2 linked regions of the Mus musculus genome follow. The protein of the gene in region 1 interacts with the protein of each later gene in a pairwise test. Links are inferred from orthologs where the notes say so. Each region holds a gene or a part of one and is shown on either strand. Other genes may lie near its edges.

Region 1 (4,543 bases):
TCATCCAGATACCCCCTGGTGAAAGAACCCACTAATCAAGTTATAGATCACCTTCCCCATGCTAATGTTCCTTTTGGCTTTGAAACTGAAACTGCAAATTCAGTCAGGGTCTTTCCTTCCCGATGGACTTGGGACCCAGCATGCAGGAATTTTTTCAATAAACACTCTATACTTTTGCATACTACTTGAGTCTGGGGTATCATTCTTCAGCAATTCTAACCCTAACACTACCAGGCCTTGCTTAAACTTAGAATTTTTTTTTTTTGAGACAGGGTTTCTCTATATAGCCCTGGCTGTCCTGGAACTTACTCTGTAGACCAGGCTGACCTCAAACTCAGAAATCTGCCTGCCTCTGCCGCTCAAGTGCTGGGATTAAAGGCGTGTGCCACGACCACCCAGCAAATTTAGAGTCTTATCCTAACACTATATAAAAAAATAAGTGAGCTGGGCGTGGTGGCGCATGCCTTTAATCCCAGCACTTGGGAGGCAGAGGCAGGCGGATTTCTGAATTCGAGGCCAACCTGGTCTACAGAGTTCCAGGACAGCCAGGGTTATATAGAAAAACCTTGTCTCGAAAAAACAAAAACAAACAAAAAAATTTACTTATTTTTATTTTATGTACATTGGTGTTTTGACTACATGTATGTCTATGTAAGGGTGTTGGATCCCCTGGAACAAGAGTTACAGACAGTTGTGAGGTGTCATGTGGGTGATGGGACTTGAACCCAGGTCCTCTGGAAGAGCACTAAGTGCTCTTAACCACTGAGCCATCTCTCCAGCCCCCAAACATACTTTTACATACTACTACAGTTATAAGATAATGTACATTGTATTAGTAGTCATACTAGCCAAAAGATGGGAAGGATTCAAATGTTCATAGCTAGATACATTGATTGGAAAGTGATATATATCTGTGGGACCCCGACTTAGAGCGTTTCTCCCTAGAAGGTAAAGCCCCTGGACGTTCCCCAAGCTTGTTTTCCCTGATCTCTAAAAATACAGCCAGAAAGAAGCTCTTTGTTCTTTATAGCCAGTAAAAAGCCCTTTTGTTTCTGTGCCTTACAGCCAGAGATTCGATAATTGTAGGAAGACATACAAGGACACAGAGATAAAGGAGCTACAGCTCACACACACACACACACACACACACACACACACACACCAGAAAGGAGCTGTAGCCAACTCTCCTCCCAACTCCTCCCAATTCCTCAGCTAGCTGTTAAAAGCCCCCTACTGTTACTGCTCAGGGTCGAACTCTCCTGCCCTGCAGGGCGTTGAGGAGTTCATCCTCAGCTAGCTGATAATAAAACCTCTTGCAGTTTGCATCAGGTGTGGATTTCTCTCAAGTCATTGACGTGCTGGCCAGCTCATCCCAGGACTTGAGGGGAGGCACAGCTTCGGGGGTCTTACATATCCACAGAGATGATAAAACAGCCACACAAAGCAATGATGATCTGATACATGCTGAAACATCAAGCAGCCCTGAAAATATGAAACTGAAAGTAGTTAGACACAAAGGGGCCCATTTACATGAAACATGTATAATGAGAGGTCCCCTAAAAAATAAAATGAAATAAAAACCTTGGAAGTAGAAAAGTTTCAGTTTCCCAGGGAAGCAGATTGAGACAATGGGCTGTTAATAATCAATGGCTCTGGAAGCTCAGAGCTGAGTCATCTCCTGGGATTTCCTCAAGGCCTCCCCAAGTATAGTAAATCTAACATAGCAGCTAATCAGAAACCAACCCATGTAACTTCCCCAGCACCCACTAATGAAGTTTTAGATTACCTAATGTTTGATAAAATTCCTCTAGTTTCCCATGGATGCCTTGTGCCCCTTTGTCTGGGGTCACCATTTTTATAAGTGGCTGGCCCCTGCATGCAGGGTTCTTGCTTTCTTCAAACAAAAAACACTCTTGCCTTTGAATGGGAGTGGTGGTCTCAGTGCGTCGCTTTCTGACCTAATATAACAGGTAAACTCAGACATAAAGCTTATGAGAGATGAGATACAGAGAGGCTGGAGGGACAGGAATCAGGTGTTATTGCTTAGTGAGTGGGTACAGAGGTCTTTTTTAAGTTGATGAAATTACCTTGGCAACAGCGGTGACAGAAGCACAGTATTGGAAATAAGAGAGATGCCATCGAACTGTACACTAAAAAATTGTTCAGATGGCCAGTCGTGGCACCTGTGTTTGATCCCAGCTCTTGAAAAGCAGAAGCAGGCAAAGTTTTGAGTTCAAGTGGCCCACACCTGTAATCCCAGACTTGGAAAGCCGAGGGAGTCACCCCAGGTTCAATGCCATCCTAGTCTAGTCTAGTTAGACCCTGTCTCAATAAATATACAAATAGGCCAATTGAGTTAAGGGGGAAAATGGCAATTTTTGTGGCACATACATTCTACCACACTAAGAATCTCCAGACATCACAGAAGGCTGGGAAAAACTAAAACTATACAAGTGTGCACCACACCTCGGGTGGATGGGACTTGGATTTTTAACTGTTTGTGATGGGATCTTACTATGTAACTCTGGCCCTGTGGGGCAAGCCACTCCAAAACGGGGAATTGCAGGCATGGGGCCACCACATTGGGCTTTTGTATTTCTTTATACAGCTATAAACTTTTTAAGGTTCTCCAGAAAACAGATTAGACTGAGCAAATTTTGTGGCAGAAAAAGAGATCTGGAAGTCCGGTGCAGGCTTCCTACCTGGGGCGCAGAACGCGGCGCGGGGGCGGGTTCAGGCTCCGAGCCAGCCTCGACCTCCCGCGCCGCTTGGAGGTACTTGTCCACCAGGTCTTGCAGCAGCGGGTTCTTGTGCAGCTTGGGCTTTGTCAAGGGACCCTTCCGACATATGGGGCAAGCCCAAGGGCAGCCATCCACGGCCCCACGCTTCGAGACCCACAGGTCATGGAGGCACCGGAGACAGAAGCTGTGGCCACAGGGCAGCGTGGTGGGCTGGTCTAGTAGCCCTTGGCAGATAATGCAGCTCAGGTCGTCCTCGCTCAGCCACACGGGGACTGCATTGCCAGAACAAACGGCCGCCATAATTAGGCGACAGCCAGGAAGCACCCTTAGGTTCCGCCTTGTCCTACTAACTTCCCCGGCAACACTTCGCCTTGTCCATCAGCTCGCCCCGCCCCTCCCATCAGCTCGACCCGCCCAGCTGCTAATTCTCCCCAGCCTCTAAAAGCGCCGGACATTGCTGGCTACCTGCCTGGATTTTGGCCTGGAAAAATCATCTCTCTCTAGTAGTTGGGTCCTGCTCGCCTAGCCACAAACACGCAACCCCAACAACTTAAGCTATGAAGAAGGTCCGCTTCAGGAACTCATTTTAGAATCATAAGAGTATCAAAATTACAGTTATGAAGTAGCAACAAAAATGGGATCTAATGCCCTCTTCTGGTGTGTCCGAAGACAGCTACAGTGTACTCATATGCATTAAATGACATTAAAAGACAGCCTCAGGGGCTGGTGAGATGGTTCAGTGGGTAAGAGCACCCAACTGCTCTTCCGAAGGTCTGAAGTTCAAATCCCAGCAACCACATGGTGGCTCACAACCACCCGTAATGAGATCTGATGCCCTCTTCAGGTGTGTCTGAAGACAGCTACAGTGTACTTACATATAATTAATTAAAAAAAAAAAAAAAAAAAAAAAAGACAGCCTCAGTCTTTATTTGCTCTTCTTAAAAATAAGTAAATCTGGGGGGAGGGTATAGGAGACTTTCGGGATAGCATTTGAAATGTAAATGAAGAAAATACCTAACAAAAAATTGGAAGCCAGGCGTGGTGGAGCACGCCTTTAAGGCAGGCGGATTTCTGAGTTCGAGGCCAGCCTGGTCTACAAAGTGAGTTCCAGGACAGCCAGGGCTATACAGAGAAACCCTGTCTCGAAAAACAAAACAAAACAAAACCAAAAAAAAAAAAAAATGGAAAAAGAAAAAAAAATAAGTAAATCAGGGCTGGAGAGATGGCTCAGCAGTTAAGAGCACTGATTGCTCTTCCAAAGTCCCGAGTTCAATGCCCAGCAACCACAGGGTGGCTCACAACCATCCATAATGGGATCTGATGCCTTCTTCTGGTGTGTCTGAAGATAGCTGCAGTTTACTTACATATAATAAATAAATAAATCTTTAAAAAAAAAATAACCAACTACTCTTCCAGAGGTCCTGAATTCAGTACTCAGCAACCACATGGTGGCTCACAACCATCTGTAATGGGATCTGGTATGTCTGAAGACAGCTACAGTGTACTCATATACATAAAATAAATGAACAAATCTTTAAAAAATAATTTTCTTGCTACTTCACAACTGTAATTTTGCAACTGTTATGAATAGTCATGTGAATATAGGAGTTTGCCAAAGGTGTTATGACCCACTCATTGAGAATCACTGCTCTAGCAGGTACCTCAGCAGTCAGGTCCAAAGAACTTTAGAAGCTAGAGAGGATCCACCTCCCCAGGGAGCTGCACTCTGGAGAGACACATCCAGAATTTGTATTGCAGCTTCTCTGACCGGGGAATTAAAAAAAAATCAGTAAATTCAGAGG
Region 2 (3,816 bases), on another chromosome or scaffold:
CAGGGGAAAGGCATTCAGTCGCAACTGTAGGAGAAGTGAGAGGGAACACTTGTAGCACACAGACACAGGAGCCGAGAGCTCTGGGATGTGTGCAGTGTGAGATGTGGAGCTGGTAGTAATAAAATCGCATCTCCAACCTGAGTATTTCATCACAAGAAACTTAGTATTCTGTGTTGAGCTTAGGAGTCATCACTAAAGCAATCTCCTCTTCATACTACAGGGCACATACAGAATCCAAAGGCAAAGCACTGCTCACAACTCTTATCCCATGATAGGGCAGGACTCCCAGATAATGTGTACTGTAGGAAATATCCCCCAAACCTGAGCTTTCTCTCTACTCTTTATATAAGGTGCCAAAACATGCCTTGGACCTCTGTCCCCCAACCCCCTTTCTGCAATCTACTGCTATAAGACTTAGGACAGCTGGGCAGTGGTAGTGCACGCCTTTAATCCCAGCACTTGGGAGGCAGAAGCAGGTGGACTTCTGAGTTTGAGACCAGCCTGGTCTACAAAGTGAGTTCCAGGATAGCCAGGGCTACACAGAGAAACCCTGTCTCAAAAAAAAAAACAAAAACAAAAACAACAACAACAACAACAACAAAGACTTGGGACAAACTTCCTGTGTTGTAACACCTCTGTAGCTTTCACCCACCCTCCTTGAGCAGTCTCCCATATTGAGAGTAATCTACCCAGGCCTCTTAAGTGGCTGCTGGCTGCTGTAGTGCAGGAGTCTGAAAGTGCTAGACTTTTATTCGCCATCGGGGTCTACCCTGATCTTCATTCATCTAGACCTCAATGAGCATTCTAAAGCAAGTCTGTAAATCAGCTGTGCTTGGAGTTAAACAGTGCACAGCAGAATAGCACCAGCAGCAAACGCATGTCTCGAGGACCTCCAAAAGGTTCATCCTCTACTCTCCTCACTAAAGAAGATTTGGGAGAGGAATTTTCCAGAAGTGAGTTTGGCAGAAGAATGGGGAGAAGAGGGAAACTATAGATGGTGGGGATGGCACAGACTGCAGCCTGGCCAAAAGGAGAATGAGCAGCCTGAACACAGCGTGTGCCGTAAGTTTCGCCCACTGGAATGGCATCAAGGGATAAGGCATGCTTGTCATGCACTGACCCAATTCATAGTCCTTCCACCCCTCTCTGATCATTAGGTGGAAATCTACTGCCTAAGATTTCCTCTAAGGAGCACAGCTCTTACGGTTTGCATCCACACGGAAAGGAGCTGCTGCAGCTCTGTCCTCGCCTGAGAAGACAGCTCCAAGATCCGTTCCCTGTGCTCGTGGCTGGTGTAGGCAGAATCAGTGAAGTCCTCCACATGCTCCAAGACGGCCTCCAATGCGGCAGAAAGGTTCTCTTTGGACTCAAAGCAAACATTCTCCCGAAGAGCTTCAATATTCACCTGAGAGCAAAAGGCCACGCATCCATGTGAGTATCCCTAAAATGGGCTACAAGTCCTAACCATGTCCTGAGACGTGCTGGCAAGTCTTAGGAAGACTGCAGCTGCACCCAATGGTCACTATCATCTCCAGGCAGCTGGGAGGGCACTTTGTTCAGGAGTCAGCAGTGGCTATGCAAGGCCTTGTTTCAAGAACTGTTAATATAATGACCTTCCCAGGAGATCATACTAAGGCATAAAAATTGCTAGTGTGTAGAACTGAATACAAACAACAAACCAGCCTCTGCCAATAAAGAAATTGCTCAGGGCAAAATCCCAAGGAGGTTTGCACTCAAATGGGAAAGTGCGCTGAATGTAATAATAAAATCTTTTAAAATGATATGGATGGTAAGTAAGAAACAGGCAATGATGACTGAGATTTTAAATAATTGAAACCTAAAAGTTAATCATGTACAATTCACATCATTTATTATTTTTTGGTTTAGACCCAATGTGTATGTGTGTGTGTGTGTGTGTGTGTGGGTGTGTGTGTGTGCATGTATGTGTGTGTGCATGTATGTGTGTGTGCATGTATGTGTGTGTGTGTGCATGTGTGTGTGTGTGCATGTATGTGTGTGTATATGTTTGTATGTGTATGTTTAAACAGCAACTTAATGAAGTTATACTGACCATTTTAAGGCTATTAAGCTGTTTACATAGACATATCTACTTATTTACAATAAGTGAAGAACAGAAGAAAGTATTAAATTTCTCTCTACAGATTACTTTCTCCATCAAAAAGAAACTGGTGCCCAGCGTGGTGGTGCACGCCTTTAATCCCAGCACTCAGGAGGCAGAGGCAGGCGGATTTCTGAGTTCGAGGCCAGCCTGGTCTACAGAGTGAGTTCCAGGACAGCCAGATCTACACAAAGAAACCCTGTCTCGAAAAACCAAAAAAAAAAAAAAAGAAAGAAAGAAAGAAAGAAAGAAAGAAAGAAAGAAAGAAAGAAAGAAAGAAACTGGTATCAAGGCAGGCATAGTGTTCCATGCCTGTAATGCCAGCAGTTATAAGGCTGAGGCAGGAGGATTGCAGTTTGAGATCAGCCTGAGCAACATTGCTGGGTCCAATGGTGGGAGCACCTCCTCAGGCAATGGTCAGCAAAGAGAACAATTTGCTCCACTGCTTTCTTTCAGTCCCTCTTCTGATCTCAGTCTTCATACAAGGTCAAGGTGCAGTGAGACAGAAAGAAAATGATGACCATCTTAGCCCTGCTTTTTAATGGGTACGAAACCCTTAGCATAATTAGGTAACTTTGCAGGGCCTTGGTTTTCCCATCTTGAAAATAAGGGCACTGTACTAGATAGTGCCGTAGGGCCCTCCTGATGAGAGGTCAGACTTCCTGGCATCAGATCTCAGCTCTGGTACTGAGGCAGCAAGGCCATCTCATCTCTGTCTCTCGGTCTCCCTAACGGCACCCGGAAGAGAATAGCAACGGTTCCTGTGCGGATTCCAGGAGTCCACACTCTGAAAGCACAAAACTGGCACAGAGCGAGCACTCCAAATGTCAGTAGAATTTACTGTAGAGCTATAATGTTGGTGCTATTGCTCAGCTTCGATGTGTGGACCCTATCACCCAGGAAGAGCAGGGTCCCAGAAGAGACCGTATGCTGCTCAGAAGCATCACAGATGGTTCTACACAGAGGAATCTATCTAAACCAAGAGCTGTGCAGGGCTGCTGCTGTCAGCAAAGACCTGTGTTGTCTGTCAACACAATCCTGAGCCCGTATTGCTCACTGTTGGGTTTTCCAGAGTGGCATTACATTAAAGAAATATGTTTGACTTTTTTTTTTTAAATATGTGTATAAGTGATTTGCCTATATGTACATATGTGTACCATGTGCCTGTGGAGGCCAAATACGGAGGCCAAATACGGCATCAGATGGCCTGGAACTGGAGTTTCAGGCAGCTGTGAGCTGCCATGGGGGTGATAGCAAATGCTCTGCAAGAGCAGCCCATGCTCTCAACCACCGAGCCATCCTTCACCCCTTGAGATGCATTGCTTTCTGTGACGTGCTACTCTAATCTCTTTTTAAATTATGTGTATGGTGCAGGAGGGGGAGGGGCACCTGAGTATGGGTACCAGGGAAACTAAGAGTATGTCAGATTCCCTGGGGTTACATGCAATTGTGAGCCAACTGATATAGGTACTAGGAACATAACTTTGACACTCTTTGAAAGCATCCAGCACTCTCAACCACTGAGCCATCCCTCCAGCCCCAAGATGAACCACTCTAAATCATTACACAGAATACTATACATAATGATGCTCCCTTCAATGAGAAAGGAAAACAAGCCAAACCTACTCTTTATTCTTACCTTCAACTCTTTAATCCCAGTAAAAATGCTGACAGATGAGCTGTCGGTCTCTCCGCTG

What was found.
Region 2: the proteins of Rnf135 (region 1) and Ctnnal1 interact in binary tests that used the Homo sapiens proteins (3 or more experiments, as listed by UniProt). The two-hybrid records come from large-scale screens. The link is inferred for Mus musculus from reciprocal best matches to the Homo sapiens genes RNF135 and CTNNAL1.

The regions. Positions count from the first base shown.
Region 1 is NC_000077.6:80,182,415-80,186,957, reverse strand, and holds the start of Rnf135 (E3 ubiquitin-protein ligase RNF135), read right to left. Parts: upstream 3,090-4,543; 5' UTR 3,042-3,089; coding exon 2,703-3,041; intron 1-2,702.
Region 2 is NC_000070.6:56,833,974-56,837,789, forward strand, and holds part of Ctnnal1 (alpha-catulin), read right to left. Parts: coding exon 3,759-3,816; intron 1,406-3,758; coding exon 1,205-1,405; intron 1-1,204. UniProt on the Homo sapiens protein: May modulate the Rho pathway signaling by providing a scaffold for the Lbc Rho guanine nucleotide exchange factor (ARHGEF1).